4 linked regions of the Canis lupus familiaris genome follow. The protein of the gene in region 3 interacts with the protein of the main gene of each other region in a biochemical or structural test. Links are inferred from orthologs where the notes say so. Each region holds a gene or a part of one and is shown on either strand. Other genes may lie near its edges.

Evidence for each region.
Region 1: the proteins of MAP4K1 (region 3) and CRKL form a complex in vitro, tested with the Homo sapiens proteins (2 studies listed by BioGRID). The link is inferred for Canis lupus familiaris from reciprocal best matches to the Homo sapiens genes MAP4K1 and CRKL.
Region 2: the proteins of MAP4K1 (region 3) and CRK form a complex in vitro, tested with the Homo sapiens proteins (2 studies listed by BioGRID). The link is inferred for Canis lupus familiaris from reciprocal best matches to the Homo sapiens genes MAP4K1 and CRK.
Region 4: the proteins of MAP4K1 (region 3) and NCK1 form a complex in vitro, tested with the Homo sapiens proteins (2 studies listed by BioGRID, with this or other methods). The link is inferred for Canis lupus familiaris from reciprocal best matches to the Homo sapiens genes MAP4K1 and NCK1.

The regions. Positions count from the first base shown.
Region 1 is NC_049247.1:30,745,754-30,753,823, forward strand, and holds the start of CRKL (crk-like protein), read right to left. Parts: upstream 4,082-8,070; 5' UTR 3,549-4,081; coding exon 3,238-3,548; intron 1-3,237. UniProt on the Homo sapiens protein: May mediate the transduction of intracellular signals.
Region 2 is NC_049230.1:45,568,077-45,576,232, reverse strand, and holds the start of CRK (adapter molecule crk), read left to right. Parts: upstream 1-2,595; 5' UTR 2,596-2,702; coding exon 2,703-2,943; intron 2,944-8,156. UniProt on the Homo sapiens protein: Involved in cell branching and adhesion mediated by BCAR1-CRK-RAPGEF1 signaling and activation of RAP1.
Region 3 is NC_049222.1:115,283,620-115,291,053, reverse strand, and holds part of MAP4K1 (mitogen-activated protein kinase kinase kinase kinase 1), read right to left. Parts: intron 7,045-7,434; coding exon 6,879-7,044; intron 6,785-6,878; coding exon 6,702-6,784; intron 6,577-6,701; exon of another isoform or gene 6,459-6,576; intron 6,206-6,458; coding exon 6,121-6,205; intron 5,108-6,120; coding exon 5,031-5,107; intron 4,951-5,030; coding exon 4,890-4,950; intron 4,130-4,889; coding exon 4,021-4,129; intron 3,935-4,020; coding exon 3,876-3,934; intron 3,665-3,875; coding exon 3,561-3,664; intron 3,026-3,560; coding exon 2,851-3,025; intron 2,617-2,850; coding exon 2,554-2,616; intron 1,754-2,553; coding exon 1,664-1,753; intron 1,577-1,663; coding exon 1,506-1,576; intron 610-1,505; coding exon 554-609; intron 1-553. UniProt on the Homo sapiens protein: Serine/threonine-protein kinase, which plays a role in the response to environmental stress. Appears to act upstream of the JUN N-terminal pathway.
Region 4 is NC_049244.1:33,870,324-33,877,880, reverse strand, and holds part of NCK1 (cytoplasmic protein NCK1), read right to left. Parts: intron 5,131-7,557; 5' UTR 5,113-5,130; coding exon 4,887-5,112; intron 2,753-4,886; exon of another isoform or gene 2,639-2,752; coding exon of another isoform or gene 2,605-2,638; intron 1-2,604. UniProt on the Homo sapiens protein: Adapter protein which associates with tyrosine-phosphorylated growth factor receptors, such as KDR and PDGFRB, or their cellular substrates. Maintains low levels of EIF2S1 phosphorylation by promoting its dephosphorylation by PP1.

The sequences.
Region 1 (8,070 bases), on a different chromosome or scaffold from region 3:
TGATCCCAGGGTGTTGGGATCCAGCCTCACATAGGGCTCCTCGCTCAGTGGGGAGGTCTGCCGCTCTCCCTCTCCATCTCCCTCTCCATCTGCCTCTCCCCCAGCTCATGCTCTCTCTTGCTCTCAAATAAATAAATAAAACCTTATAAAAATATATAAAACTAAATGTTATTCCAATAACAGACTAGATTCCAATAACATTCCAAGATCAGACTAGAAAACAAGCATCAATCCTTAAATTCCGAGGAAGTCATACAGTCATAATTTTTCACTAAGCAAAATTTTAAAATGAACTTTTACCTAAGGGGTATGAAACTCTGGCCTTAAGAGCTCAGTTTTGCTGCCTAGAAAACTAAACCACTTGATTTATCTTGTCTGGGGTGTGAAGAAGCATTAAACTGACTTGCATTTGGCCAAGGCTTTACATGGCACCTCTAGTTTTCTACAAAGGCTGAAATATCAAACCCATCTTCAGATTTCAGGCTTGAGGAAGACAATTCAAAGATTAAGTAAATCCAGTCTGCATCTAATTCTACCAGAATTGTGATCGCCCTCTGAGATACCAGCAGAAAATAAAAAACTAAATTACAGCAACATGCCTGGGGCAGACAGTGAAGAGGAGAAACAATTACAGCTGCGTGTAAGTGGGAGGGTCAGGGAAAGGCCCCATTATTTGAGGGGTCTGGAACAGCAGCTAAGATTTCAATAGGTGAGGAGTGGGGTAGGGTTAGGCAGTCAACTGAAGAGCCAGCAGCCCACCTGGCAGCTGGAGCAAAGGTACAAAGGTGTGAGAAGGTACGCAGGAATGGCTACCAGGAATTAAGTGAGTTGCCTAGCGGGACTGCACTAAGGGAAGAACAAGGTGGGGAATAACAGAAAGTTATGTCTGGTATCTGGGAAGACACATGTGTGAAAAATGTGGAGTTGTTTTTGTTGGGTCACGGGAACCCCTGCAGCATATTCCTTTTTCTCTCTCTAGTCTGCAGCATTATTCCTTTCTCTCTCTCTCTAGTCCCTAGAAGGGGATCAAACCATTTACTCACACCTTCTGAAACAGCTGTATTATAGTACCTGTTACCTCAAAGCAAGCACAATGCCTTGCACATATAGCATGGCTTAGTGCATGAAACTAATGATATAATTCACCTCCATGAGTTGGAGAAGTAATCACTTGAACATATTAAAAATCTCATTTTAGTTGGTTCTAATACTCTCTCCAACCTCTTATATCAGAATATACCATGCTCCACGTCAACTCCAATTACCAGCATCTTTGGGGACCTGGAGATTTCACCAATCAGATTCTTGGTGCTTAGGCCTTTGTTATAACACTATTTGATTTATAATCACTTTCTCCCAGTTTTTAAAGTCCATTTAGTTCAGCAGTTAATCTTATAGTCATTATACTGTCATGGCTTTGTTTCTTCTCTCTTACTCCACAGAAGCAACACTTAGGCATCCAGTGGGTGCTCCTTAATTATTATAGCTTTTAATGGTTAAAGCTCAGTGCAACATCTTATCAGCAAATCTATAAAATCAGAAACAGGTCATTCCAAAAAAAAAAAAAAAATCTATATCGGCAGCCTATTCCTTTTTTAAAAAAAAATTTTTTTTTTAAATTTTTATTTATTTATGATAGTCACACAGAGAGAAAGAGAGAGAGGCAGAGACACAGGCAGAGGGAGAAGCAGGCTCCACGCACCAGGAGCCCGATGTGGGATTCGATCCCGGGTCTCCAGGATCGCGCCCTGGGCCAAAGGCAGGCGCCAAACCGCTGCGCCACCCAGGGATCCCGGCAGCCTATTCCTTTTAAACATAAGTTCAAGAACCAAAATGGACAGCAAAATACTTTTTATTTAAAAAAAAATTCCAAGCAATTTCTTCAGTTCAAATTTGACATAATTTAAATAAAAGAAACGTGAAAAAATACTAAAGACAAATTAAAGCAAGTAATCAAATAAAATAATGCATTTACTTAGAAAAGAGAATGCTGCTTGCTTTAAATTATTAAACTTACAAATGTACAAAAGGTATACCTAAAATTAAACTAGGACAGAATTAAAGTATCGCTCAAAAATTTCCTTAGTAATTTACATCCTAGCTTCATTCTTCTTTAGAATATAATCAAATACATTTCTGGCCTATTAATGGTCCACCCTGGGGATAAACTATAAAATAAAAACTCAAAAAATGCGTCCTCGGGGATCCCTGGGTGGCGCAGCGGTTTGGCACCTGCCTTTGGCCCAGGGCGTGATCCTGGAGACCCGGGATCGAATCCCACGTCGGGCTCCCGCTGCATGGAGCCTGCTTCTACCTCTGCCTATGTCTCTGCCTCTCTCTCTCTCTGTGACTATCATAAATAAATAAAAATTAAAAAAAAAAAATGCGTCCTCGCTAAAGCCAATGCATCATCTTCTTAAAATTTCTGTTAGTTGGGATGCCTGAGTGGCTCAGCGCTTGAGCGCCTGCCTTTGGCTGAGGGTGTGATCCCGGGTTCCCGGGTTTGAGTCCCACATTAGGCTCCTTGCATGGAGCCTGCTTCTCCCTCTGCCTGTGTCTCTGCCTCTCTCTTTCTGTGTCTCTCATGAATAAGTAAATAAAATCTTTAATAAAATAAAATAAAATGTGTTAGTTATAAAACAAAAGGTGTCTAGGTAATTCAAATTTAGCACCAAGGTATCCTACATAGTTCCGCCACTTCACTGTGAAAGGTTTTGTTCCTAAACGCTCAAGCATTTTCATTTGTCGATTATTCCAAAGGCTGCAGTCCAAGAGTTCTTAAACTGGAGCAGGGAGCCCAAGAACCTTGAACGGTGTGCAAAGTTGTGTGTACGTGCATTTTTACGGAGGGAGAACGCCACAGCTGCCCTGAGATTCTCAAAAAAAAAAACAAAACAAAACAAAAAAGGCTTAAAAACAACAAAAACGTCTCGATTAGGATAACCCAATAGATAATGTGACGAACGGCACAAAGCGGGCATTTTAACCAGGCAACCGCCGTTACACAGGTTTAAAACCCATCCCCTCATCCAACAACCCAGACCCTGGCACTAGCCTTCCGATCAGAATGCCTTCTGGAAAACAATTTGGTTCAGAATGGGGTGAAAGGAGTTCAATCCCGCTCCCCCCACCCCCTACCCGGCGGTCGATCCCCCGCGAACCAGCCCCTGCTGTTCTCGACCCTCCGCCGCGGTCCGAGGGGGGCTGTGCGCGCGGGGAGTGCGGGCGCTCGCGTACCTGGGCGCGGGCTCGATTAGGGTGGTGGTGTCCAGGTAGTGGATCTTGTAGAACTCCAGCAGGGCCGGCAAGTGGTCAAACTCCTGGTCCCCGATCTTAAAACGGCGGTTGGGCAGCGAGTTGATGATGTAGTGGGAGACCCGCGAGTTCTCGGACACCGACAGCACATAATCCCCAGGGCAGGTGGAGGAATCGCGAACTAGGAACATTCCGTGGCGCTGGCCCTGCAGCCGGGTCTGCGCCTCCTGGCGAGACACCGGCCCCATGTACCAGGCGGAGCGGTCTGAGGAGTCGAACCTGGCGGAGGACATGGTGTCTGGCCGGGGCTCTGCGGCGACTCGGGGCGGCGGCTGCTCTCGGCTGTTCTGGACGCCTTCGCCCGACAGACGGCTCTGCGGCCAAGGAAGGGCCTCTTGGCACACCTCGAGGCGCGCTTAGAGGGCCGAGCCAGCACCTTCGTCTCGGCTCCGGGCCCGCAGCATCCTCTGCCGCCGCCCGCCTGCTCCGGGGCCGCCTCACGGACGGAGCCGGCCCGGGGAATGCAGGGCACAGCCCGAGGTCGGGGCGGGCGAAGCTGAGCCGCAGCGGAGGCCGCCCCGGGGTTCTGGGGCTGCCCGGCGTACCGGGGGTGCCTCCAGCCACTCCTGGCCCGGAACGCGCGACTCCGCGCCCCCCACGGCTCTGCACTGATACCCGCCGCCACGCGAAGCACCGGACTCCCAGGAGCGTCGCGCCTCCGGGGCGGTTTCGCCCAGCCCGTTCCCAAGAGCCACAGCAACAAAATGGCGGACGCGGGACAAGCGGCCGGCCACCTCCCCCTCCGCTCAGCGCGCTCGGTCTGCGCACGCGCGAGCTCTGGCTCTCAGCTGCCGCCCAGGCCCGCCCCGTGACGTCGCGCGGCGCGGCCAATCAGGAGCGCGGTCGTGACGGTCGGGGCGTGCGCCGCGCTCCGCCGCTCCCGCGTTCCGGGAGGAGGCGGAGGCGGCCGGGGAAGCGGGGGAGGCGAGGAGGTAGAGGCGGCGGAGGAGGAGGTGGCGGTAACGGCCACTCCCTTCCTGGGCTGCGGTGCGCCGCCGGGGGCGCTGCCGCTGCGGGCTCCCCCCCAGCTCCGGCTGGAAAACAGCTGGAGTCGAGAGGGAGCGGCGTTTCGAAAACCTGCTCCGCGAACAAAGCAGAACGTGCATGCAGAACCTCTGGCCGTGGAGGCGTGGCACTGAGGTGACCTGGCTGGCCCAGGGGCCCCGGGGGACCCGCGCTGAGGGAGACCCGCGGGCGGACACGCCTCGGTGGGTCGAGGTGGCTCTGGAAGGACGCGACCGCGGGGGCTGACGTGACCAAAGCCGAGGTGGCCTGATAGGCTCAGGGACCCAGAGTGGCCGGGAAACTCGACAGCCGCAAAAAGGGGTTGCGAAGGTCGGAGCGACAGGATTGAGTGGCCCGAGGAAGTCCACCTTTTGGTGCAATCTGGCCATCATTAGCGTTTAACTGATGAAATGCGGACTCCCCCGGGTGTGGCCCGAAGATCTCGTCCGGCTCCAGTTCTGCAGCTTCTCGAGCTAATCTCCTCGCATGCCCGCCCCCTGGCTGACCTGCTTCGGCCGGTCGTGGTGGCCTGTTTCTCCACCCTGCCTCCCCTCCCCGCGATGAAATTTTAAGAGATCAGGGATCTTGTCTGTCTTGCTCGCTTCTGGGCCTAGCACAAGGTCTGGACCTGACCTGATGCTCAAATATTTGTTGAATGAATTGACTTTTGAAAAAAAAAAAAAAATCCTCAGGCTATTGGTGCCCGATTATTGGTAGCACCACCCCTAGAACTGGACAAACGAGAAAGCCTGTAAAGAAAGGGAGACGCCGGCTATAACAAACCTATACAGATCCCTTTGTCAGTGGAGTTTCATTTCGGCGCTTGCAGCCCTCAGGTTGAACATACACCTAATTCTAGGGTGATGGGTGATATCCAGCTTAGGGTAAGCTAAAGGGGAAATGTCAAGGGTTAGTGCCTTTTGTGACTCAGCATAAGCAGGTTTTCAATCCCCTCCACCCCAATATTGTCATGTATTATTCTCAGGTTGAAACTGACTGGACTCAAATTCTGCTCCCAGTTGACTAGCTAGGGTGACCTTGGGCCATGGCTCATATATTAAACAAGCTAATAGTGCCTGACACGTATTAAACCTCATGTAAGAGATTTTTATTATTACTATTCAGCCTCTACTTGGGCTCCCACCTCCATAGCCTAAAAGTGTGCAGATCTCTCAATGGATCAGTGAGGGTCGGGAGAACTACCTTTTTATTACCAGATTTTACCATTTTATCATCAGCCACTCCTTGCCCAGCCTTCATCTGCCTTCTGCTCTTACTTTGACCTCTGGAGATCATCACTGATTTCCATTGACCCTATCGTTTTCCCTGATCTCCCTGGCTCTATGTGTCTATATAGAAAATCTCTGGAAAGAACCTTTTATTTTTATTTTTTTAAGATTTTATTTACTTATCTGAGAGAGAGAATATGTGCACAAGCAGGGGGGATAGGCAGAGGAAGAGGAAGAAGCAGACACCCCGCTGAGCTGGAAGCTCCATGTGGGGTCCATCCCAGGTCTCTGGCACAGATACTTAATGGACTGAACCACCCAGGTGACTCAAGAATCCTTTTTTTATTTTTTATTTTTTCAAGCTTCTGGGTCGCTAACAATTTCTTCTACCTCTTCAAATACGCTTTCTTGGTCTTTTTTGATAGCACTTTTATCTCCAGCCTCTATATGTAGAAGCTCAGCCCTTAATCTCTCTATAGCTTCTCCTTTGGTAGGCTAATCATGAAGGCTTCAGGAGTCACCCACCTATCTGTTAGTGACTCTGAAACACTTATATTCTAGGAGTAGAACAAAATCTGACCACACCCTATGATTTCTATGCAAACACTGTGGTCACAGCCTAAATTCTTATTACATTCCATTGTGATTGCTTATAAGTTTCTTTCCCTTCCTACTCAGAGCTCCTTGGAGGGCTGCCTACTTTACTATTATCTTCTGTATTTCCAGTGCCTAACACAGTGCCCAGCACATAATATATGCTTAATAAATAGTGTTTGAATGTAGGTGGATAAGGATGAGAAGAAACCAGAGAAAAGCGAAGGTTGATTGGAGATCCTGTCACTATTTCCTGTTAATTAACATAATATATGTATTTAAAATAGATATTTGGCCCTAAGTCTACCCCCATGTTCAAGACAAGCTTCCATTTGGATTAAATTGTGCCTTTCAGCTTCCCCTTTTCTGTCAATTGCGTCAGTGTTTTTCTAATTTGCAAACTCAAATCTGAGTCATCTTTTACTTAACTGAAGAACTCAATAATACCTAATTTATATAGTGCTTTCCAATTCACAAAAGTTCACATAATACATTGTTTTACTTATCCCAACCAAAGTCCCATGAAGTCCTTTTTTATAAATGATCCAGAAGCTCAGAGAGGTTAAGTGACTTGCTGACATAAAGTATTAAAAATTATGTTATTTGCAGGAGGCAGAGTGGCACTCAAGCCAGGTCTTCTGACTCGAAGTCCAAGAGTCACCTTAAGGTGTACCTGGGTGACCCAGTCAGTTAGGTGTCTGCCTTTGACTCAGGTCATGATCTCAGGGTCCTGGGAGCAAGTCCTCGAGTAGGCTGAGCAGGGGCGCCTACTTCTGCTGCTCCCCCTTGTTTGTGCTCTCTCTCTCTTTCTGTGTCAAATAAATAAATAAAATCTTTTTTAAAAGTCTCACTTTATTGTCACACAACTGACTATAATGTCATTTTCTTTGTTTTGCTGATGAGGAAACTGAGGTCTTCTAAAGTAAATTTTAGTAGCAGGAAAGAGTATCAATCTCAGAATACAGAAGAGTGGTTGGATTTGACCCCAGTTTGGATTTCAGACTCCACTATCATCCTACTGCCAAAGTACCATTATCCTTTCTTGAAAAATTTCAACATTACAGATGGATCAAAATGGGGAATGGAATGTGTGGATAAAGGTGGAAAAAAGAATGCCCCTGTGTTGATAACTGTTAAACCTAGGTGACATGATGTATGTTTAAGTCAGGGTGGGGAGTGTTAATTATAGCATTCTACTTTTGTATGTTTGGAATTTTTCACAATAAATTTGTGAAAGTGCTTTTCTTTACTCTTCCTTGGCACAGCTGAGACAAGCTTTAAAAAAAAATTCCAAAGACTGTTTCTAGATGCTAAGATAGAACAAAATGGAAATGGAGAAACAACAAGGAAGCATTTAAGGGGGGGGGGGGAGATTGTAACATAAAGATCTGTAATTTTGCCTGAGCTTGCTCATTCCAGATGGCATTGCACTTATATTTTTCTTCTAAGAAAATTATATCCTAGACTCAAAGGACTGACCAGGCTTTTTAAGCACCTTGGGCAGATTCCTTACTTCCTAGTCCTGAGGCTGCCTATGTACAGAGAGCACAACCTTGGGACCTGCTGTTGACTTTTTCTCCCCATCTGGGTAGGTCCAGTCCTTCCAGTGATGGTTAAGGCCAAGTAGTCTTTCTGTGTTGCTGCCTTAGTGAGGTCATGACAACAAATGTCTGTCCCTTTCTCCTGCCCTTGATTCTTTTCCAGCAATAATTCTGCGTAGAAGAGACATGACCGGGGGATCCCTGGGTGGCTCAGCGGTTTGGCGCCTGCCTTTAGCCCAGGGCGCGATCCTGGAGTCCCGGGGTCGAGTCCCACGTTGGGCTCCCGGCGTGGAGCCTGCTTCTCCCTCTGCCTGTGTCTCTGCCTCTCTCTCTCTCTCTGTGTCTATCATAAATAAATAAGTAAATCTTTAAAAAAAAAAAAAAAA
Region 2 (8,156 bases), on a different chromosome or scaffold from region 3:
TTTATGATAGACACAGAAAGAGAGAGAAAGAGGCAGAGACACAGGAGGAGGGAAAAGCAGGCTCCATGCCGGGACCCCGACGTAGGACTTGATCCCGGGACTCGATCCCGGGACTCCAGGATCACGCCCTGGGCCAAAGGCAGGCGTTAAACCGCTGAGCCACCCAGGGAGCCCCTCCATCTTGGTTATGATCTATTTCTTCCCTTCCTCCCTCCTTCCCTTCTCTCCTTCCTTTCTTCCTCTTTATTTTGCCCTTATTCTTTTCAAGTCCATTTTCTGTAATCAGAACCCACAAGCAGTCTCTGGGTAAGGCCCCGCCTCAAACCTCCGCCATTCTGGAGAAGTGAAGAACAGACACCTCTCTTTCCCAAAGAGCCAGAATTCACACTGGGATGGCTTCTGCTACTGGCTTGTGGTAACAGGCTGTGACTAAGCCAGGGTCACAATGAGTCACAGCAGGGAAGGTGCCTTCACTCCCCTTCCCTTCCCAGAGCAGGCCCAGGGGTGTGTGCAGTAGATCCGGAAGAGGTGTGTTTTTCATGTAAGATCAAAATCCAGGGCTGATATATTTTTTTTCTTTAATGTCTATTTCTGCCATCCTCCTCCAACCTCCTGTCCTCATCAATGCCTATTCCAGCATTGGCATTGCTGAGGATACAGCACCGTGACCACAGCTCTCTGCTCCTTCTAGGATTTGAATACCAGCTCCCTACACAGCAGCTGTGTGTCTCTGGACAAATAACTTAACCTCTCTGAGCTTCACCTGTAAAATGGGGATAGTTGTAAAATACCACCCATGAGGCTGTTAAGAGGATTAAATGAGATGATCCATACTAAAGGCAGTTAGCGCTATGCCTGGCAGGCAGTATTCCCTGAATAAATGGTAGCTGTTGTAACATTTATGTAGTGCCTCCTACACTAGATGTGTGGCCTTTGAGGAGTTCTAGTGTAGGACACAGACAGACCTGTGAATGAAGGATTACAGTACAATGGGTAGGAACTGTAATGGAAATAATATGGACACAGGGCTATGGATGCAGAGAGGAAGTAATAGTTGGTTAAAAAAGGGAAGACAGGGGGATCCCTGGGTGGTTCAGAGGTTTAGCACCTGCCTTGAGCCCAGGGCGTGATCCTGGAGTCCCGGGATCGAGTCCCACATCAGGCTCCCTGCATGGAGCCTGCTTCTCCCTCTGCCTGTGTCTCTGCCTCTGTCTGTGTGTCTCTCATGAATAAATAAATAAATAAATCTTAAAAAAAAAAGAAAAAAAAGAGAAGACATTTGAGATTCAGATCCAGAAAGGAGTGAAAGGGTATTCCAGAAAAAAGAAACACAAGGTTCATGTAGGAGCTGTTAAGAGGACACTGTGACCTCATTTTATGCTGTGACCTAAACTGGGAATTTTAAGTTCTGGAGACTGTTGTTTGTTTGTTTTTTTAAGATTTTATTTATTTATTTATTCATGAGAGACACAGAGAGAGGCAGAGATGTAGGCAGAGGGAGAAGGAGGCTCCCTGCAAGGAGCCTGATGTGGGATGCGATCCCACATCCCAGAATCACCCCCTGAGCCAGAGGCAGATGCTCAACCACTGAGCCACTCAGGCGTCCCAGTTCTGGAGACTGTTAAAAGTTGTGCACAGGGTAGGAACAGTCTTAGAGTTGTAATTTAGAAAGCACACACTGTCAGATGTGTGCAATGTACTTAGAGCAGCAAGTCTATAGGGCACCAGTGAACAGGCTGTTCACAGGAATACAGATACAGATATGGAATACAGAGACAGAGATCATGATAGTAAGGAGAATAGAGGATACCCCTGGCCACGACTAGTGTTTAGAAGAATCTGGGCAAATGACTTGAAAGACTCAATCCAGAGAACTCCTGGCTTGGCACATTCTGCTCTCTCTGTCTTGCATGCTCTTCCCCTACTGGCCATTCAACATTCAGCTCAAGCCACCTCCTCTGGTAGGTGGAGGACTGAATCCCTTTACAGACTGGGCTGGAGCTCCTGGTTGGTTCCCTCTCACAGTGCTTGGAATTCCTTTGTCATTGTTCCTGCTTCCTCCCACTGGTCTGTGAATTCTGTGAGGTCAGGGCCCAAACCTTGATCACCTTTGCACCCACAGAGCAAATGTGGTGTCAGTAACTGCTGAGTCAATCAGTGCAAACAAAATACTTAAGCCAGTCTAGAGAGAAGATGGAGGAACCACCAGAAAAGGACCAAAGTCTCCAGGAGCTCAGGCCCTGAGGCCACATACATCTTTTGTAGTCCAACTGTGTCTCGGAGTTGCTGCCTAGAATTCCCGGGCCTTCCAGGAACTCGAACCCTGGAGCCGCGTGGCCAAAACCGCAAACACAAACCTCCGCCGACTCCTCGCTGAGCCCCTACCACCGGCCCTGGACTTGGCCCCTCCATCCCCTGCAGTCCCGATCCCCGCCAGGCGGCGACGCACACGGCGGCGCATGCGCAGTGCGCACCCGAGCTGTCCTTTGCCCTTCTCCCCATGGCGGGTTGCGGTCCCCTTCCCGGCATCCTCGCGGGGGCAAGGTGCGCGTCATTTCCGGTGGGGAAGGCCCGCGGCCGCCGCCGCCATTTCGGGCACTGCTGTGAAGCTGAGACCCGAGCCGGTCCGCTGGGCGGCGGGCGCCGGGGCAGGAGGGGCGCGCGTGCCGGCGGCGGCCCAGCGTGTAGGCGCGGAGGCGGCCATGGCGGGCAACTTCGACTCGGAGGAGCGGAGTAGCTGGTACTGGGGGCGGTTGAGCCGGCAGGAGGCGGTGGCGCTGTTGCAGGGCCAGCGGCACGGGGTGTTTCTGGTGCGGGACTCGAGCACCAGCCCCGGGGACTATGTGCTCAGCGTCTCGGAGAACTCGCGCGTCTCCCACTACATCATCAACAGCAGCGGCCCGCGCCCGTCTGTGCCACCGTCGCCCGCCCAGCCTCCGCCCGGTGAGGACGGACGGGACGGGACGGGAGGCCCCGGGCGGGGTGAGGGCCGCGGAACTCGCCAGCCTGACCGGCTGCCCCTCGCGAGCTAGCCTCCACGAGGGACGTGGGCAGAGGGCTGGAGCGACCCTGGCATGGGGGTACCTTGGTGCCCGGGCTCGTTCCCACCACTGGCGGTTGTGTGTGTGTGGAGGAGGAGCCGCTGACCCAGGCCTCTGGGTGTGACTTGGGAGGACAGCCCAGGGGAAGGGGAACTGCTTCGGCCCCAGGGTGGGGCTAGCGCCGGGGCCAGGCACTAGGGCAGGGCGGGCAACGTGGGGACAAAGAGCGGAGGGGGATATTGGCACTGCGGGGGCATCACTTGGCAGCGGTTCCCAGGATGAATTCGATAATCCTACAAGTGGCTTTTTAGGCTTGAAACATTTCCTGTACTGTTAGAGAGCCGGGTTTGGTTTGGAGAGCTATTCTCCCCTGCTGGCCTTTGATAGGAAGTCACCACATACTAGCCCGGAGGGATGGAGACACCCTCAGGAAACCGGTCAGCTTTTTCCTTTCTTGGGCATCTTTCCAAAATACTTTTACTGTCCTCTTCCCCCGCGGAGGACGAAGGTGGTGAGCTAAGTGCCTTGGTGACAGAAGTAAGCCCTCTGTGATCAGCCCAGAACAAGTTGATGTCCAGCTGACCGTGTCCAAGAGATCTTGGCGTCCAGAGACTCTTTTCCACAATTAGAGGGTTCTAGTTTTCAGGGTATTTTGTGGAGGACAGATTCTATGCCCCCACACCCCTCCCAGGAAATAAGCCAGTGGAAACAGTCCCTTCCTTGGAAGTGAATGGAACTTCCAATTTCATTGGACTTAAGCATTGTCAATGTCATATGTCAGGGCCTCTTGCTCAGTAAGTTGGGGCTGTGGCCCTTTTCTTTCTTAACCAAGGATCACTGAGATGTGACTGTCCTACTTACGCCTTTAGAGCTGTTTGGAGAATGTTAAGGAGGTTCATGCACTTAGTACTTGAGATTTGTGAAATACAGAGTAATTCTGAGGTTATTGTCAGATTACCATCATCTGTGTAACAGCACCAAGAGTTGTAGTCTTTCTCATTTTTCAAATTGAAGCAGTTTTCTTCTGACCAGCTGAGGCTAGCTCCAGGCCAGTCTCATAAGAATTAGGAGCCTCCTGAGCCAGCCTTTGCAAACTTGCCCTTTAGGGATAGTCCTAATTTAGATTCATTCACTCTGGCCAGAAATAGGGAGATGGGATAGTCAGTCTCTGTTGCTAACACGTATCAATTATAGGAAGAGTATGAGATCTTTAAATCCAGGAAGTATCCTAGGTCTTCTCAGTCTGCTTGGTTTAATTTTTATTTTAAGATTTTATTTATCTATCTATCATCTGTCTATCTATCTATCTATCTATCTATGAAAGACACAGGCAGAGGGAGAAGCAGACTTCTCGCTGGGAGCCCGATGCAGGACTCAATCCCCAGACCCAGGATCATGCCCTGAGGTGAAGGCAGTCACTCAACCGCTAAGCCACCCAGGCACGTCCCAGTCTGTTTGGTTTAATAGCATAACATGAGACAGGAATATTGATAGAACATAAATTTGCCCTAAACCCGATATGTTGTGCTTTTCCTTTTTTTTTTTTTTTTTTTTTAATTTTTATTTATTTATGATAGTCACAGAGAGAGAGAGAGAGAGAGGCAGAGACATAGGCAGAGGGAGAAGCAGGCTCCATGCACCGGGAGCCCGATGTGGGATTCGATCCCGGGTCTCCAGGATCGCGCCCTGGGCCAAAGGCAGGCGCCAAACCGCTGCGCCACCCAGGGATCCCTATGTTGTGCTTTTTCACCACCTTCTTGGTATCTAGGGTTGTGCATTACAGTGCAGTAATATGTCAAACTGTCACTGAAATTCAATTTTCAACCTCCTGCACCCCCAGTTTTCAACCTTTTATGTATGCGTTTTGCAAAATTTGGAGATGACAACAGGCAGGTTTGCTGGTTTGAGCTTTCTACACACCTTTGTGTTATGACTTTATATCTCTGCGCTTACCTTGATATTGAGCTCCACCTTTTCATAACAGATAGGAGTTCAAATCCTTGGCTCAAGAGAGAAGGTGAAGATTGCCAGAGTTTGTGGATGGGGTGTGGAAAGTTCACAGGCATTGTGTTAATTCTTGTTTCTGGTAATGTGCCCAGTTTTTCACATAGAGCAATTGATTGAGTTGCTGTCTTTATAAAGGTTACTTAGTCTTTGTTCTCCTTGCTTCCCCGTCAAGCTCTTTTCTTTTTGAAACTATACAGAGGAATTTCTTTAATTTTAGAAAAGCGTGTAGAGTATTAATAGCTAACATTTATTGACTGGTTATTCTGTGCCAAGTACTTTGCTGAGTACTTTCTGTGCCTTGTCTCATTTTCTGTCTATAACAATCTGGTGAGAAATACTGTAATCTCTATTTACTAAAATATTTTCATTTTATAGGTGAGGAAACAGAGAGATTCAGGAACTTGCCCAAGGTCACACAGCTGATAAATGACTGAGCCAGATTTTCAACTTCGGAATTCTGACTAGAGAGCTGACACTATTCTGTACTTCTTTCTCTTTCCTTTTGAGATCTGAACAGTGCTCATAGAAGATTTGTTTCTGTCACAGGGTCCTATGTTCTGTTTAAAGACCAAAAGGAAAGGATGACCAGAAGAAACTAGCTTTAGTATTTGGACAATACATGTCTTTTATCTAAAAGTCAATGATGAGGGACGCCTGAGTGGCTCAGTGGTTGAGCCTCTGCCTTTGGCTCAGGGCGTGACGATCCCAGAGTCCTGGGATTGAGTCCCCACATCAGGCTCCTTGCATGGAGCCTGCTTCTCCTCCCTCTGCCTATGTCTCTGCCTCTCTCTGTCTCTCATGAATAAATAAAATTTAATAAATAAATAAATAAATAAATAAATAAAAGTCAATGATGAGGCTTTTAAATCCTTATTTGGCAAATTGAAGATGAAAAATGAACTTTTTGCTTAGGATTATATAGCATATTTTGTGGACATAATACATGGGTAGAATTAATATGGAATGGCTCAGATACAGTTTTTAGAGGCATGGGGTAGGATGGATCGGATATTTTTAACCTTTTCTGGTGAATCTTTTTATTTTATTATTATTATTTTTTAAGATTTTATTTATTTATTCATGATAGTCACACAGAGAGAGACAGAGAGGCAGAGACACAGGCAGAGGGAGAAGCAGGCTCCATGCTGGGAGCCCGACGTGGGATTCGATCCCACGTCTCCAAGATCGCGCCCCGGGCCAAAGGCAGGCGCCAAACCACTGCGCCACCCAGGGATCCCTGGTAAATCTTTTTAAATTAGATGTGTAGCTTCTGCAGGCTGCCATAGTCTGGGAGCACCCTGGTTGTGCTTCAGGGCTATGAGGCAGAGCTTGGGCAAGTCTACTGGTCATACTCTGTCAGGTTGGACTTCCAAGGTAGACCTCTTGGGAAGGCTTTGCAATCATTGCTTCATACATTTCTTCAAACAATGAGGTATTGCTAGACCTTGGCCAGTAGACAATCAACAAAACTGAACAAGTGTGAGCTGGGAGAGTAGTTATAAGTTTGAGCCCTGGAGCTCGGGTTTGAATCTTCCTTACGACTTAACCACTTATATAACTTTGGGCATGTTCTTTAAATTGCCTCTGCCTCAATTTCCTCATTTGTAAAAGAGAGGAAATAATAATATTGACCTCATAGGTTTGTATTGAGGATTAAATGAATTTTAGTGTATTAAATGCTTAGGAATGGGGCTAGCATGTAGTAAATACTTAGTATTAGCTGTATTAGTCTTATGTACATACATAACTATGAGATTGGGAGAGCAGGAGTTGAAGAAAAATGGAAAACTGTTCTCAGCATTCAGAGGCTCATAGGCAGGCATGGTGTGGGTTGGTGAGCACTGATAAGATAGCATGTGTAAGAGAGTAAGTGCTGGGGTGGAGGGGTTTGGAGTGCATCAAGAAGTATGAAAGGACCTTGGATCCAAGACATAGAAATATGATGGCACTTGTTGTTACCTGCCTAACTCAGAGCCTTCTACCTATTGTTCTAGTGGGTGAGGGGCAGAAATTAGAGTGGTTATTGTTTGTGTTGCCTCTGCAAGGTGGTGCTGGACCAAACCACTCTCTAGAGATCTAGTGGGACTGTTCATTACCCGTTGTTGCCTTTTTGTACCTCCACCGTCTGTGTTTCATTTGTGTACCTCATCTTTGCAGTTCTCAACCCGGTCCTTGTGTTTTATTCCTCAATTACAGAAAGTATCCCTCCATCCAGTGGTTCTGGAGAAGTTCTTCAGTGAGTTAATTAAAGGTTTACAACAGAAAAAGGATTTCATGATAAAAGAAAGTAGATTTATTTATTGCAGGACTTCCCAGCCTTTACTATGCTCTTGTGAAAGTATGACCCTCCCAAGAGAGGCAGGCATTTGACCAAGAAGCATCTTGAGATACTGTAAAATCTTCTCTGGGAAACAGTACAGAGGACTTTGGGTTTGGCATTAATCAAACATTTCTAAAGGAATTGAGAGGTTTAGGCAGGATATTAAGCTGAATTTGCTTTTGATTAAGCACCTGTAATGTTCCAGCAACTTTTAGGAATTTTATTACATTGGTGTTTGGCACCATGAGAAGTTAAGTAACAGCTCATACAGCTAGTAAATGGCAGAACCAGAATTCATCAAACCCAATCATTCTGAATCTGCAAAGTACCATGTTGATACCCACCATTTTTAGAAAGTTCTATTTGCTTAGGAGACCAGATATTTGATACCTCTTGGGAAACCTCAGATGAAAGTCAGCAGCATTTTTAGCCCTTTGTATTGGACAGGTGGTGGGGTGTGTTTAAGCAGTTTTTATAAATATCATAGGCAGAAGAGAAGGAAAGGAGTGGGAGTTACGGAAAGAGGAAGGGGGGAAATGGAAATGCTTTGATATAAGAAGCTGATGATGGAGCTGCTGTGGTAGTACCCATACCAGAAGTGACCTGGCCTGTTTTAGCCCACAGAGCTTTTAGGTATTCTTCATAAAACTTCAGGGAATGGTGTTGTTAAAGATTGATGTAACCTGTGGGTTAAAATGCTTAGAAGTAATGAGCATGTACAGAAACCAAAAAGAATATCTAACTGCTTGCATTGATTTTGATTTCTGAGTGTGTTTGTTCATAACTGC
Region 3 (7,434 bases):
TACTGTTATTTGGTTATAAAGAGTATCATTGGGCCAACTGGTGAGACTTGGGCATGTGGATTAGAAGGCAGTGAGAAGTCTTAGTGCCATTTTCTTAATTTTGACAGCTGTGTTGTGGTCTGCAGGAGTAGGTCTTTGTTTCACACCCAAATGGTCAGAAAAAAATCATATACATATGAAAGAGGAAGACAAATCAAACATGGCAAAAACAAAACACACAAAATACCCCCAAAACAGTCAAAATGTTAATATCTGGGGAATCTGGATGAATGAAGGGGATACAAAGATTTAAGAATTTTTACATTTATTTTTGCACCTTCTCTGTGAGTCAAAAGTTATGCCAAAATAAAAAGTGAAAATAAAAATTAAGAAACAAAAATGCCCCCTGGGCTGCACTGTGGAGAATAGACTATAAGGGGCAGAGATAGAAGCAGGGAGACCAGGAGAGAGAATGTCCAGGCCAAAGATACAGGTGGCTGGAGACATCGCAAGACACCTCTCCACATCAGAAGCCCCCCTCCCAGGCTCTGTGTTCCTTTCCCCAAGTCCATACCTGGGGGAGCCAAGCAGACGGAAGGTGAGGGTAGGGTCTCTCAGCTCCTGCAACAGCTGGGGAAAAGGTGTGTGTGTCAGTATCTAGAAGACTCTTCCCCTCTCCCTTAAAGAGAATGGGGTGTAGAGGGGGGGTCTCTGAACTTCTAGTCCTAGGTCCAGAAATAATCATTCTTGCTAACACCATTCACCAGCTGTGTGACCCCAAGCAAGTTACTTCTCTGTGCCTCGGATTACTAACCTGTGAAATCACAGGACCTTCCTGATAGGTGATTGTGGAGATTAAATAAAATACAAACATATAGGGGCAGCATCTGTCTGAAACATAGTGTTCTATGAGCTAAGGAGCATTTTTCACTCCATTTTCCAGATGAGGAAAGTAAGGCATGGGAAAGTTAAGTCATTTGCTTAAGGTCAATCAGCCGGATTCCAACCCAGGCAGTCTGTGCATGCTCTTAACCACCCACGTAGCTCTTTAGTGACCGGCCCCCTTTGATAGTTGGAGACTGAGGCTCAGAGAGAAGCAAAATCTCTTGCACAAGATCACACAGTGGCCTGTAATGACCTCTGGACCCAAGAGACCCTGGGGTATAGACAAGGACCTGGCCAAGGATGCATGGTTGGCTCAGTGGGTTAAATGTCTTCCTTTGGTCAGGTCATAACCCTGGGGTCCTGGGATTGAGCCCCATGTAGGGCTCCCTGCTCCGCAGGGAGTCTGCGTCTCCCTCTCTCTCTCTACCCCTCCCCCTGGATCATGCACTCTCTCTCAAATAAATAAAATCTTTAAAAAATACAAAAAAAAATTAAAAAGAAGAGGACCTGTCTGAACTGAGACTAAAGGAAGCTTCTTGTTAGGGCTCCACACCCTGACTCAATACTTCTGCTCCATCTGCGGAACCAGAAGAACCACAGGGGAGGGGCAGGGTTGGAGGTGGTCAGATGGAGAAGCTTACCTGGTCTGAGCCTGGAGCCCACACCTGTACTCCGTGCTTCCAAAAGGCCTGGAGCCGACCCCCGACCATAGCTGGGAGGAAAGCAGTGCCCATTACCCTTGGGTATCACTAAGCCTCCCCTCTGGGCAGGCGGGGGGGCCTCCCAGCCCTGCACATACCCACGGCTTCCACTGCTTCAGTCATGGGGATCTCCGGAGTTCGAAGCCCTGGGACTGGGGCTCCCTCTGGGGTCACCAGCTTCAAAGATCCTAGAAGAGGAGAAAGAGAGAGAGAGAGTTTTGTTGTTTTTAATTTTTTTAATATTTTTTAAAGATTTTTTATTTATTTTTGACGCACGCAGAAAGAGAGAGAGGGGCAGAGACACAGGCAGAGGGAGGAGCAGGCTCTATGCAGGGAGCCCGATGTGGGACTTGATCCCGGGTCCCCAGGATCATGCCCTGGGCCGAAGGTGGCACTAAACCACTGAGCTACCCGGGCTGCCCAACTTTTGTTGTTTTTTAAAAAGATTTTATTTATTTATTTGAGAGAAATAGAGCATACATGCAGGCAGAGCGGCAGGGAGGGAGAGAGAGAAGTAGACTCCCCGTTGAGCAGGGAGCCTGATGTGGGGCTTGATCCCAGAACCCCAGGATCATGACCTGAGCCGAAGGCAGACACTTAACGACTGAGCCCCTCGGGCGCCCCGAGAGAGGGCTTTAAGAGTGAGGGTCAGAGGGGATCCCTGGGTGGCTCAGCGGTTTAGCGCCTGCCTTTGGCCCAGGGCGCGATCCTGGAGTCCTGGGATCAAGTCCCACATCAGGCTCCCTGCATGAAGCCTGCTTCTCCCTCTGCCTGTGTCTCTGCCTCTTTCTCCCCCTATGTCTATCATGAATAAATAAATAAAATCTTAAAAGGAAAAAAAAAGAGTGAGGGTCAGAGGATGGAGAATAAATTCATTGAGAAGCAAAGCAGGACCCGGGCAAGGCCTGGAGGGGTTCAGCATTCCTGAGCAGCACAGGGTCTGCGAGGCAGATATCCAAGAACAGTGGAGGAAAGGGGAGGTCCTTACCGTCCATCAACACCATCACCTTGTCTTCCTCCACCTGGGTCACCTGTACCGGTCCCCTGTGCTCTATTTGACAAGAGGAGGGAGGTTCGAAAGCCAGTCCCGCCGATCCTGCCTTCCCCCGCTAGGCGCCCTCTCCACTCCCCAGCCCGCGGGCCAAAGCCGCCTATCACCGCGGCCCGACGCGCGGACAACCTCAGCAGGTGTATGAATTCCACCTCTGCCCCCGCCCCGGGTTCAACCCCTTTCGCAATCCACCGCGGGCTAGAGCCCGCCCCGCCGCCAGCCCCGCCCCCTCACCTGTGCTCATCTCGCCCAGCCAGCAGGAGAGCGCGCCGAAGCGCACGGTGTGGAAGAGCACGGACTTCGCCGGCTGCCCGGGGCTCACGCCGATGCAGACGGCGGGCAGCTCGGAGCCTGGCCCGGTCAGCAGCGCGAACACCGGAAGGGGCGTCGGCAGCGGGAACAGCACCTGCTGCAGGCCGCACGGAGAGGGGCGGGCTCAGGGGGCGGGCCCGAGGGGAGGGGCCTGGGTGGGCGGGCCCGAGGGGCGGGGCTTGAACGCGGAGAGCCCGCGGGGGTCTTCGCGAGTATTTCCCCCGGGCCCTCGGTTTGGAGGGATGCGGTCTAGAAACTTCAGGGGGTGAGAGCCCAGAGGAGTGCGGTGACGCCTCCTTAGCAATGAGAGTTGGCTTGGCTTCTGTTGGGGTCGTGCCCCCTTTAAAGGCAACAAAGTCTCCTTAGACTCAAAGGGTCTGAGTGGGGTCTCCTTGGAGACCCGGGGGTGGGATGGGGGTGGGACGTAGGGCCCGCAAAATAATTAGGCTGGGTGACAGGAGGAGTTTAAGGCTCCAGAGGCCCTCAGGAGGGGGAGCCTCCGGGCACCTGCCGCAGGTGGGCGGGGCCTGGGTGGAAGCCGGGCTTCCCGAAGCTCTCAGCAGAAGCGTAGTAAGGAGTGCAAGCCCCTGGCCACTGAACCTCAGAATCCCCAGCCTCTACAGACCCCCTACCCGGACCAGCAGGAACTTGTTCATGGGCTGGTACCACTGAAGCAGGACCACGGACGTCTCCAATGCCCCGCACAGGAACGGGCCCCCCGAGCTCGCACCCTCCGCTGTGGGGTGGGGAGGGATGGGTTAGGGTCAGTCCTCTCTCCCCTTCCCTGACCCGCTCCTCACCCCCCCCAAAGGGCACACATCTTTCCCCAGACTCTGGACAGCCTGCCTTCACCCCACCATCCTCTCCAGTCACTGCAGCCCGAGCCTGCCCCCGGACCAGCACACCCTCCCCCGCTTCAGGTCCACCCAGTAGGGATTCTCTCTCACCCACGCAGCAAGCTCGGCACCCTTTGGTGTCCTGGATCTTGGTGGAGACCATGTTCTTCCTGCAGAAGAAAGTAGGTGCATAAATGCAGAGGGACGGCAGGAAGGGGGAATTACAGGGGTCTGCGGTGCCCCTGGGGGCTGGTACCTTGCCAGTAGCCGGTGGGGGCTAATGTGAGCGATGGGGCTTCCTGCTCTGGTCTCCTTCCGTTCCAGCAGGCCCAGGATGCTATGAGAATACAGGTGGGGGGTCTTTCCTGCAGTGTGTGTGTGTGTAGGGGGAAGCAGGCAGTTATAGGACACCAGACACTCCCACCTTTCCCTGGCCCTTCACTTGGCCCCATCCCTTTGAAACTCCCAAGGCTTCAAGTCTCAGCACTTTTATTTGTTCATTTCTCGCTCAGCGTATTTTAAATGCCCGCTGTAGGACAGGCACTGTGCTTGGCTCTGGTGACTAATGAGTAAGATAAAGGTGTTCCCTATCTTCCCGTGCTTGCTCAGCCACGTGAGAACCTATGGACATTTAACCAGTCAGATGAAGTTATGCACGTTATTAAGTTTAAGGAGAAACCTATCTAGAAATTCTCCTAAGATTTGTCGTCACAGACATGATAACTAACTCAAGAAGCCCATTTGCTTGGTGTTTCTCCTATACATTAGAAGTTCTTTTACACCAAATGTTTCTAAAACAGAAACACAAAATTTTAATTTATAACCCCATTTCAGTAACGTGTGGAATAAGTTCTCATTGGCATCTATACATCGAGGAAATGTCAAGACTTACTGTGGATCTTACCTCAAAACTGACTTGAGGTGGGACTATTGTGAACCACATTTACAGATAGGGAAACACAGATAGAGTCCCACCTCAAAAAGAGGACTGAGATTTTAACTGTGGGCTCTGTAAAGGGGGAGCCTACTTTTTCTCCCCCAGCTGTGCCCATGTATCTCCCAACCCCCGGACTCTCAACCCTTTAGCTTCTGACCCCACTCCTCCCACCCAATCCACAGCCAGACCTGAGAGAGACATGAGGACATTGTTGATGGAATACACCCAGGTGGTCCGGCTAGGGAAGAGCTGCAGAGAATGGAGGAGATGGCTCCCATAAGACCCTGGGAACCCCCAATGCCAGCCCCCCCCCCAGGCTCTGGCCTCACCATCTCCAGCGTGGCCTCTTGATCATTCCGGTTCAAGATGAAAATGCCTTCCTCTGCCCCCAGGAGCAGGTGCTGGTCTGTGGAGACAGACACAAGGACACTAGGACCTATGTCATCTTGGAGGAGGCCTCCCAGACCCCCACATGACTGACCCCAAACACTGGTAGTCTGTTCCCCATCCCTGACCCTCAATTCTCTCTTACTCCCACACCTGACATCCCCAGCTCCTGTTTCCCCAAATGTGAACTCAAACCCTGACCCAGTTCCCTGAGCTGGTCTCATTCTCACCTACTTCTTGGGCTTGCACCCACAAATCCTACAAATCCTGACGCCCCCACCCCACGACCTTTGACCCAAACATCAGTCCTGCTTCCCTAAATAGCCCTCTATGTTCTGTTCTGTCCATCTGTCTTCCCAGTTCTGGCCTCCAAATGCTAATCTTGTCTCAACAGGGATCCTCAAACTTGGGCCCTTTGAAATGTGTTTTTTTTTCTGTCCAATGCATCCCCTGTACATTCTAATGCTGTTTTTTTTTTAAATAAATTTTAGTAATTTTTTTAAGATTTTATTTTCAAGTAGTCTCTACACCCAACAATGGGGCTCGAATTTATAACCCTGAGATCAAGGGTTGCATGCTCCACCGACTGAGCCAGCCAGGCGCCCCTGATGCCATTTCTTTAACATTTACCCCTCACTGACCTTGTCTCCACATCTTTCACCCTCGAACTCTTCCCTTTCTGCATTCCCACCCCCAAACTCCTGACCCCAAATGCTGACCCCAGCCTCTCTACCATTAACCTCTAACTGAGGTTAGAGGGTTGCAACTACCCCCACCTTAGATCTCAAACTCTGACCTTTCTGTTATATCTGACACCCATGGCTCCTAGACTCTTATTTTCCTAGTTTCCACCCTCAAATTCATCTCCATCCTACCTGTATGTGATCCCCAAACCCCAACCCTGGGCTCAGGTCCTGCCTCAGCTCTGCCCATCCCCCTCTTATGAAGACCCTCCCCTGTTTCTGCCTCTGTGCCTCCACTAAGGCCCTGCCCACCCACCCTGTTGCTCTCGGAGACCCTCTGAATACCCACCCTTGGTGGAGGGGTGCGTCCAGGCAGCCGTGCTGTGGATCCGGAGCGGGCAGCCATTGAACAACTTCACGAGCAGGGCACATCCCTGGGCAGGCCCCGGGGGCAGAGCAGCAGATCCAAGGAAAGGAAGGAGGGGATGGGAAGGTGCAGGGTCAAGACTCTGTCCCAAGACTACCAGCCCTCAAACCCTGCCCTCCACTTCCTCAAAGGTTTATCACCTTGGCAAGCTATGGATCCCTCTCTGCCTCTGTCTCCCCATCTGTGACATGGGAATAATGTCTATCTCTGTGATATTACCCCCCATGAAGGCTTACACCCCATAAAGACATGAGGGCAGTGTCTACGGCCATACCACCCTGAACGCGCCCGATCTCGTCTGATCTCGGAAGCTAAGCAGGGTCGGGCCTGGTTAGTACTTGGATGGGAGACATGAGGGCAGTGTCTGGTGCAAAGGCACTGCTCACCAAGTGTCACCTCTCATCACTATCACTCTGCCCCTCCCCACAGCCCATCCCAGCCCCAGGCATCCCAGCCACCACCCCCCCTCCGGGGGTGTGAATCCTCAGCACAGCCGGGCTCACCTTTCTCTTCATCTTTACTTTCTTGGGGGGTAACAGTGGGGGCTGATCAGGCTGCCGAGGGGGTGGGTTCCAGAGTGAGGGTTCTGAGACAGGGTGAGGGAAAGTCAGCCTTCAAAGGCCCCCCTCCCCTGCCCACCCACATTCCTGCCTGCCTCCTGTCCCAGCCCGCCCCATTACCTGAATGGGCAGTTAGGTGGGGGCTTCGGGTGGCGGGGGGAAGCCCGAGGTGGGGGGTTCGTGGGGGAGGCCCACTGGCACACCGGACCAGCACCCCCGGGCTCAGCTGTCCCTCATCCCCAGTGCCCCCAGTGGGCCCCTCGTCTGATGGAGAACGGAACTTGGGCTAAGGAGATGGAGGAGGAGCAGAGGAAAGTACGTTAGAATATCTCAGAGAGGGCGCCCAGCAGTCCCAGCCCTGCCTCCACCAGGCCTGACATTGGTCATGTTTCTGACCCTCCCCACAGTGCCCTATTACCACTCCAGGCATCAACCCTGACCTCCCTCTGCCCACCCCGTGCCATCATCATAGTCCAGCAATTAAAGGATTAATGCCAGATATCTTAGAGCTGGGGTCCCCAAGACCAAGGCCCACCTGGCTAAGACTTTGAATCCCTCCCCTAGGTTCAAGGAGGCTGCTCCCAGATCCCCACATGCTCATCATCCGGTCTCCCAGACTTCAAGGGACCTGGTGTCCCAGATTCCAGGGTTAAAGTGTCCAGTATTCCAGCATCTA
Region 4 (7,557 bases), on a different chromosome or scaffold from region 3:
TGTAACCTGGTTTCCAAATCCTTGATATGCTGGATGCCAATATTTAGAAGCATCCAAGTTTCTCAATACCACTGTTAAAGTATATCTACCCAAAATGGATAAACTGTATCATGTTTCATTTGGCCAGCACACAGATAAGGTAGCCAGCTATTTGCATCCTTTCACTTGAACTACAGATTTGAATCAATGCTATCATGAACTGCATTAAAATTCTGAGGCGCCCACAATATCATAGCAGCTCTTTTTAAAATATTTTAGAGTGGGGAGGGGCAAAGGGAGAAGGAGAAAGAATCTTAAGCAGACTCCACACCCAGTGTGGAGCTTTGATGCAGGGGCTCAATCCCATGAGCCTGAGATCATGACCTCACAGCAGCTCTTTAATAAGTCTCTTAACTCATGTAAGAATTTTACATAATTCTGCCAGGCCAGGTTCTCAGCAAGCTCTTCAATTCTTATAAAAACAATTCTCGTTATAAAAACTTAATGTAAAATTTTACATTGTCCCTATTCACATTGTTTATTTCTCATTTTTAGCTTTCAATGAACTCAATGTATTAGTTATTCTTCTGGCCTTAGGTCTTCTTTACTTTAAACATGCCATCTTCACTCCATCTAATTCACTGACTACATAAACGTTCAACAGAATTAGACCAAAGAAAGTATTACTGATTCTAGTTCTTTAAGGAAATATAGTTATGGTTTTATGTTTCTACTTCTTCAAAACCAGTTTCTCCCTCATGGATTTTCCCCTGATTTCTATCACATGTAAACTGATCAGTTGTTTTACCAGGACCATAAGATTTTTAGAGTTAGAAGGGACTTTCCAGATCATCTAGTCTTACCCAAATCTCCTTCACAAATAAAGAATAAGAGATCAGGAAAGTTTAGGTATATACTCTTGATCACATAGTTAAATAAATGGTATATCTAGGAGCAAAACTAGGGAATTCTAAATGCAAATATACAATGTTTTTTCCATTACAAGTCTTTATTTAAATTTTGATTTTTATGTTATTTCATCTATACAAAATAAGTTATTATTTTTGATTTTTCTGTTTTACCTAAAATACTGTACCCTCTTTGTTTATTTTAGCCACCACATAAGGAGCACATATAGTGTACCTTTACTTCAAAGCAAAATAAATACAAACTTGGGCTTCCTGCAGGTAATGAAAAAAGGAGTATTTTGGTTACAAATCTCATACCCTGACCCTCAGGTCTACAAATATATTGAAGATTACCAACTTTGCAAGACAATAGAAAGAATAATTTTATTATTCTATCGATGGTATATAATGAATCATCATATCAATGATATATTCTTTTTACACCATTTCTGGTTGATTTACAGTCAACATCACTTATGACCAAAATGAGATATGAAATTCATTTATTTAGTATTTTAATACTAAATAACAACCCTCATCTACCTCCTCACCATATAAGTTCTATGAAAGTACTAGTTTTTCACCCTATGATTTTTATCTGGCTTGCAGTAGGCTCTCAAGAAAAATATGTTGATAAACAAATGAATAAATAAATTTCCAAAAGGAAAACTACCCCAAAAAGTGGATCTAAAAATGCATTAACTTTCCTAAAAGTAAACACAAGAGATATATTCCAGAAGAATTTCACTTGGTCATCAAAATTAACTAAAGAAACAAATGAGTCTTAATATTACAATTATGACATTCTTTCTCAACAAATTACTTACTCCTTTACAATTCTGCTTGAAAATGAAATCTCTCAAAAAAAAAAAAAAAAAAAAAAGAAAATGAAATCTCTCAACAGGTTACTCTTTGTTTCCTTAAATTCCTTATGCATGAGACTTCTACAACAACTCCTCTGTTCATTTTTCTAGAAACACTAAACAAATGTTCAAAAAGATCAAATCAAGTTCACTATCATAAGATCATAAAAAGGCCAAGAGCAAATATACACATTGGGTTCTGGTAAATTAGTATCAGTATTACATTATGACCTGAACTCAAAACAATCCCAGTAATTCACTACTTCCTTTCACTGTTTTCATTTTCTTTGTATGTAGTTGCTCTCAAGACTCATTTCAAAATATCAAATCTCACATTTACCAAAAGAGCAATTTCTACCAATCCTACGTTGATTAAATCAAAACATTCTCTTTCCTGCTTTATTAAATGTTATTTCTACATTATTCCTCTAAAATCTAAGTAAAAACTACTAAAACAATATTATGTTAATTCAAAACTGAAGATGAAGGAACTTGTTCATCTAATCCTTTCTTTTCCTCATATTTTTAATGTTTATAATTTAATTCACTTCAAATGTCTATGCTAAGTTCAGAGTTACCAAATTAAAACTAACTGCGAACTCATTTATATCTTTTTCTTTATTATTTAAACACTGATACTAAAACATTTCAAAACTATATTACTTATCAGGTCAAAACTAGTATTACCTGAACTATCACCAATCATTTAGCTTATGTTTCATAAACAATATAAAGCACCAGCCTATTATATAAACACACCAGGTTCCATACAGTTTTCTTTAAATTCACAAAACCGAAAAATCTACTTTAAAAACTACAAGAAAACTATGGATTTAATAAACAGATGAACTTACTGAAAAAGTCTTTAAAGACGTTTAACCAATCCATTTTGAACAAAAATCCCGTATTCTCTTGTCAGTTAACACAGCTCAGAATAATTCTCAGTGAGCTTCCTGGTCTGTTCTGCAACACTGAAACTCCCCACACCCAATCCATGTGACTTGGCCTACACCCAGGCAATAGAAAGTTTTTCTGGGAGAATTTTTCTGAGGCTTCTCTCTTTCTAAAACATTTTCCCCCCTGAAATCTAACAGAATCTGTAAAACAAGTATATCATCATGGCCACGAATGTTACCTTATTATTCAGACGTATTTTGGAAAAAGCTTTAAAGTATACATTTTCAATGAATATATATTCATACATTCACTCTCTCCTTTGTTTCCCCTTTTCTATCTTTCAAACATTGTCTCCACCAGCACAATCACTGTGAAACAAATCCATTTAGCCACATGGGACATTTAAGTTACCAAAAGGAGTTCAGAAATTCTGAGAAAGAGGCAGCTTTCTGATACAAAAGCTAGAATTACATCATTATACAGAACTAACAATCATTAACTTAAAACAGAATGTTTTCAAGTATCCTGCAATACAAGCAGCAATAACTGTAATACAGTAGTAAAGTTAGCAGAGATACTCTATGACTTAGATATAAAATCTTGCCAAAACTGTCTCAATTATATCAGAAAATAGTATGAAAGGTTTCCCAGGAATATCAACAAATAATAAAAATTCTCTCTAGTTGGGCTTTTTAAAGTTTATATTCAGTAGTATCTAAAACTGGGATATATTTCCATTTTGCTCTATGATATTAGGTTTTTCACCATCTTCTGTTTAAACATTTGCCCAGGATACCAGTATCCTTTTAAAAAGGAATAAAAAGTCTATCTAGGTGTAACCCTAATCCTTTCTGTGCCTGCATTCCTATGAGGCATACTTTCTTGATAGAAGTTACCTTAATTTTCCCCAGTACCTCTGATGTACATGCTTTAAGTAAGTGTCCAATATTTACAAAATCACAAGTATTCCTGGTTCTAACTATGGTCTCTTCTGCTAGAGGAAAATCTGATTTGTCCTTCACTTAAAAACTAGTATTAAAAACTAATAATACTGGTCTTATTTGCAACACCTTAAAATCTTAATAAAAGGTATCCTCAGATATAGCAGTTAGATGTCATGATGAAAATTCAGATTAATAACTCCTTTAGAATATTAGAATTGTTATTTGCTCACAAAACAATATCCCAATATTTTATATTTACTTTGAGTTGTATTATATTTTAGTTTTGGCTATTTTACAGTGTCAAAAATAAAAGATTTGTCTTCTGTTGCTGATAACGGAGAGAGCACTCTAGATAACAAGGTCAAATAAAAAATAAAGCTAATATAAAGCAGTTAGTCAATAATATTTCATATTTGTCAATCATGCCATATTACTCATTGCCAAACTATCTTTGCAAGCAGAAATTTTACTTTCTCGTCTACATATATACAAAGAACCATTAAGTAAGAGCATGTTTGCCTGAATACCAAAAATGAAATTCTGTCCCTCCCATTCCTTCCTGTCAGCTAAGGAGAGTTTAATTAAAAGAAAAAAGAAAGAGGCCAGTCCTCATCTGTGCATATTTCCTTCCTATCAGCTCAGCCAAGCCCGGTGTGAAGCAAGTTCCATTATCTCTGGCCCTAATGGAGAGCTAGTAAAAACAAACTTTACAGTTAAAGGAAGAAAAAGGGATGGGGGAGGGGGGAGAAAAATAAGAAAGAAATCGGCTTTGTAGATGCTAATCTACAGTAATGATCGATCCACAATTTGAAACTCTTTTATCAAATACAAGAACAAAATGATGGTTTATTTTTAAAAGCAAAATTCAAAATGTAGGCTGTTAAATGTAAAATATAGCAATGTGTCATAAGTTGCCTTAATGCCTCCTTGGCAATTCTGAATCTCCCTCATTTATTTGCCTCAATGAGATGCAGAATTTGCGCCTCAACTCCTATAGGCATTCACACAGTTCAACAGGTCCTGGCTAAAGGATCAGACTCAGTCCTGCTCATCAGCACCACTATAGTTTGGCCCTTGAACAGCAGCTAGATTTATAGAAAATGCTCACTAACACTTACGCTCTTCTGACTTGAAAATGTGCTATGTGCCAAATGTACCTAGCCTAGCTGAAATTCTAGTCTTGGCCTTCTCTACTCAATTCTGCCCAATGCTGCCAAAATTCTATACAAAGAACCAAGCTCTAACATCCACTTTAAATAAAGTATTGTTGGTGTTTTAACACAAAAATAACTTACCTAAGGTATCCTTTAGGTTTTTTACAATAGATGCTTTCCGAGCACTGTTTTTCCTCTCCACATAGTTAGAAGGCACAAAACCTGTTTTATTCATGGAGTTTCGAACTCGCCACCAGGATTTAGAGTCATCTAGAAGCCATAATCTCTCATTCTTCTTGATGTCCAGCTCTTGTTCTTGTTGGGCCACATAATCAAATTTGGCTACTACTACCACTTCTTCTGCCATCTTTCAGCAGCTTCAGCACTGTAATAACATATACAATATTTTTACAAGGTTTAATAGTAGTCTACATACTTTTCAAAAAAGATACGTGTAAAAACCTAAGAGAACTAAAAGGTTGAAAGAAAAAATATGAAAAAACAAAAACAAAAAAACAGGCAATACTAAAACTAATCAAATACTAATTAAGACAAACATGGTGTAGCTATATTAATAACACACAAAAAGGACAAACCATTAAGGCAAACCATTATCAGTAATAAAGAATTTCACTACACAATAGAAGGCTTTATTAAATATACATAACAGCCAAACCTCTGTCTATTAACATAGTTCCAAAATGGACTGACAGAACCACAAAAAAAAAATTTTTTTGGACAAATCCATTGTCACAGTGGACAATTTTTAACATACTTATCTCAGTAATAAATCAAGGAGACAAAAAAATTATTAAAGCTCAATAAGAACTGACATCAAAACCATTAAGTCTGATCTAATAAACATATACAAATATTACTTCCAAAAGAATATAAATGAAACATATGTGAAAATTATCAAACATTAAGCAATAGAGAAAAAGTCTCAATAACTTTCATGTACTTGGTATCCTACAACCATATTCTGCCAATCATTACAAAAAGCTTTTTAAAAACTTCATGTATCAAAGAAGAAATTATAATAGAATTGTGAAAATATGTAGAGGAGTCAAATAATAAAAAGACTATATATAACCAAACTTGTGGGATACAGCAAAAGGAGTATAAGAGATTCTAGTTGTAAATAGTTACAGCAGAAAAATAAGAAAACCTTAAAGTAAGTTATAATGAACTGAGTGTGTCTTAAACAGGTAGAAAAGTAGAATATAAAGCAGAAAAAATGAAATAATACAAATAAGAGTAGAGTTTCATTAAACAGAAAGAAATGATACAGAAGAAAGGCTCAACAGAACAAAAAGGTAGTTCTTTATTATGACTAACAAAATGGACATAGTTCTGGCAACAAAGGAAAAAGCACACCCAAATATCAGGAATGAAAAGGGAGTCATGATTAGAATTCTGCACACATTCAAAATACCTGGCAATATTACAAACAACTTTATCAATAAATATGAGCTGAAATGTACAAATTCATAGAAAAATAAAAATTAAAAAAGTACTAACATTTAATCAGTCATTTAAGAAATCTTCCCATAATGAACATTAGGATATGGTTTTACAGGAAAGTTCTATTAAAATCCAAAAAACAAGTAATTCCAATTTATACAAACTTTCAGAACAAAGAAAGGAAAACTACAAATCTAACTCATTCCTGTATTTATTAGATGAGATCCCTGCTTTCTTCAGAAATTATTTTACATAAACAGTTACCTCTGGCTTACCAAGCAAATAAATTCAGCTTTTAGTTTTGGATATTGAATAGCATTCTCTTTTCTCAACAACAAAGCAAGGTGTTCAATATCCTCAAAGAAATGCATTTTAAGTTTTTTTTTTTTTTTTTTTTTAATGTTAAAAAGAGAGCACAAGCAAGAGGAGGGGCAGAGGGAGAATCAGATTCCCCACTGAGCAAGGAGCAAGGAGCCAGATTCAGGACTCGATCCCAGGACCCTGGGATCATGACCTGAGCTAAAGGCAAAAGATTAACTGACTGAGCTGAAGGCATCCCAAGAAATGCATTTTAATCTTGAATTCAACATCCAATAGCATTCAAGTGTAGATAACGTTTGCGTTTAAAACGCAGATGCCTTTGGGGGGGGTGGGGCACTACAAGGCCTCAAAACCTACTGCACATTCTTCTGAAAGAATGACTCTAATATGTACAGCAGTGAATAATTAATAATGCTAAAATAGGAGAATGATGTGGTATTCAAAAAACAATGAACAGAGAAACCAGAAAAATCAGTTTGTATCCTTGTAACCTTTCTGTTTAAAATTACTTGCAAATAAAAAGTTGTAACCAAGTCTAATTAATTACTAGCACATGATGCAAAAAATTTTCAACAATGAGTGATAGGCCTTCTGAGGCAATAGAAGGCAGAGAGGGTTTTTTTTTCAAGCATATTTGCAGACTGATTCTAATTCCTTCCCTGTGGGAACCTGCACAAATTAAATAAAATCTACAAATTAAATAAAATTTAATCCTGGGCCCCAATGGAATTAATTTTGAAACTTGACAAACTGACTTTAAAATTTATCTAGAAGAATAATCATGTAAAACCAACAAATGACATTCTATAGAAAATTAGAGTTGACATGACATTAGGTTGTGTACCTAGAACTTTCTAGTTTCCTAACAATATGCCAATTATCCTTCTAGTTACCACCTTACTATTATTGCACTAGCCATGTGATTACTGGGGATTGACTCTAGTTTCTAAACTGTATTTGAGTTAGTCAAAGCTGCTCCTTCCCATCAAAAGGATAGTAAGGGAATGCTACAAACAAATCTACACAC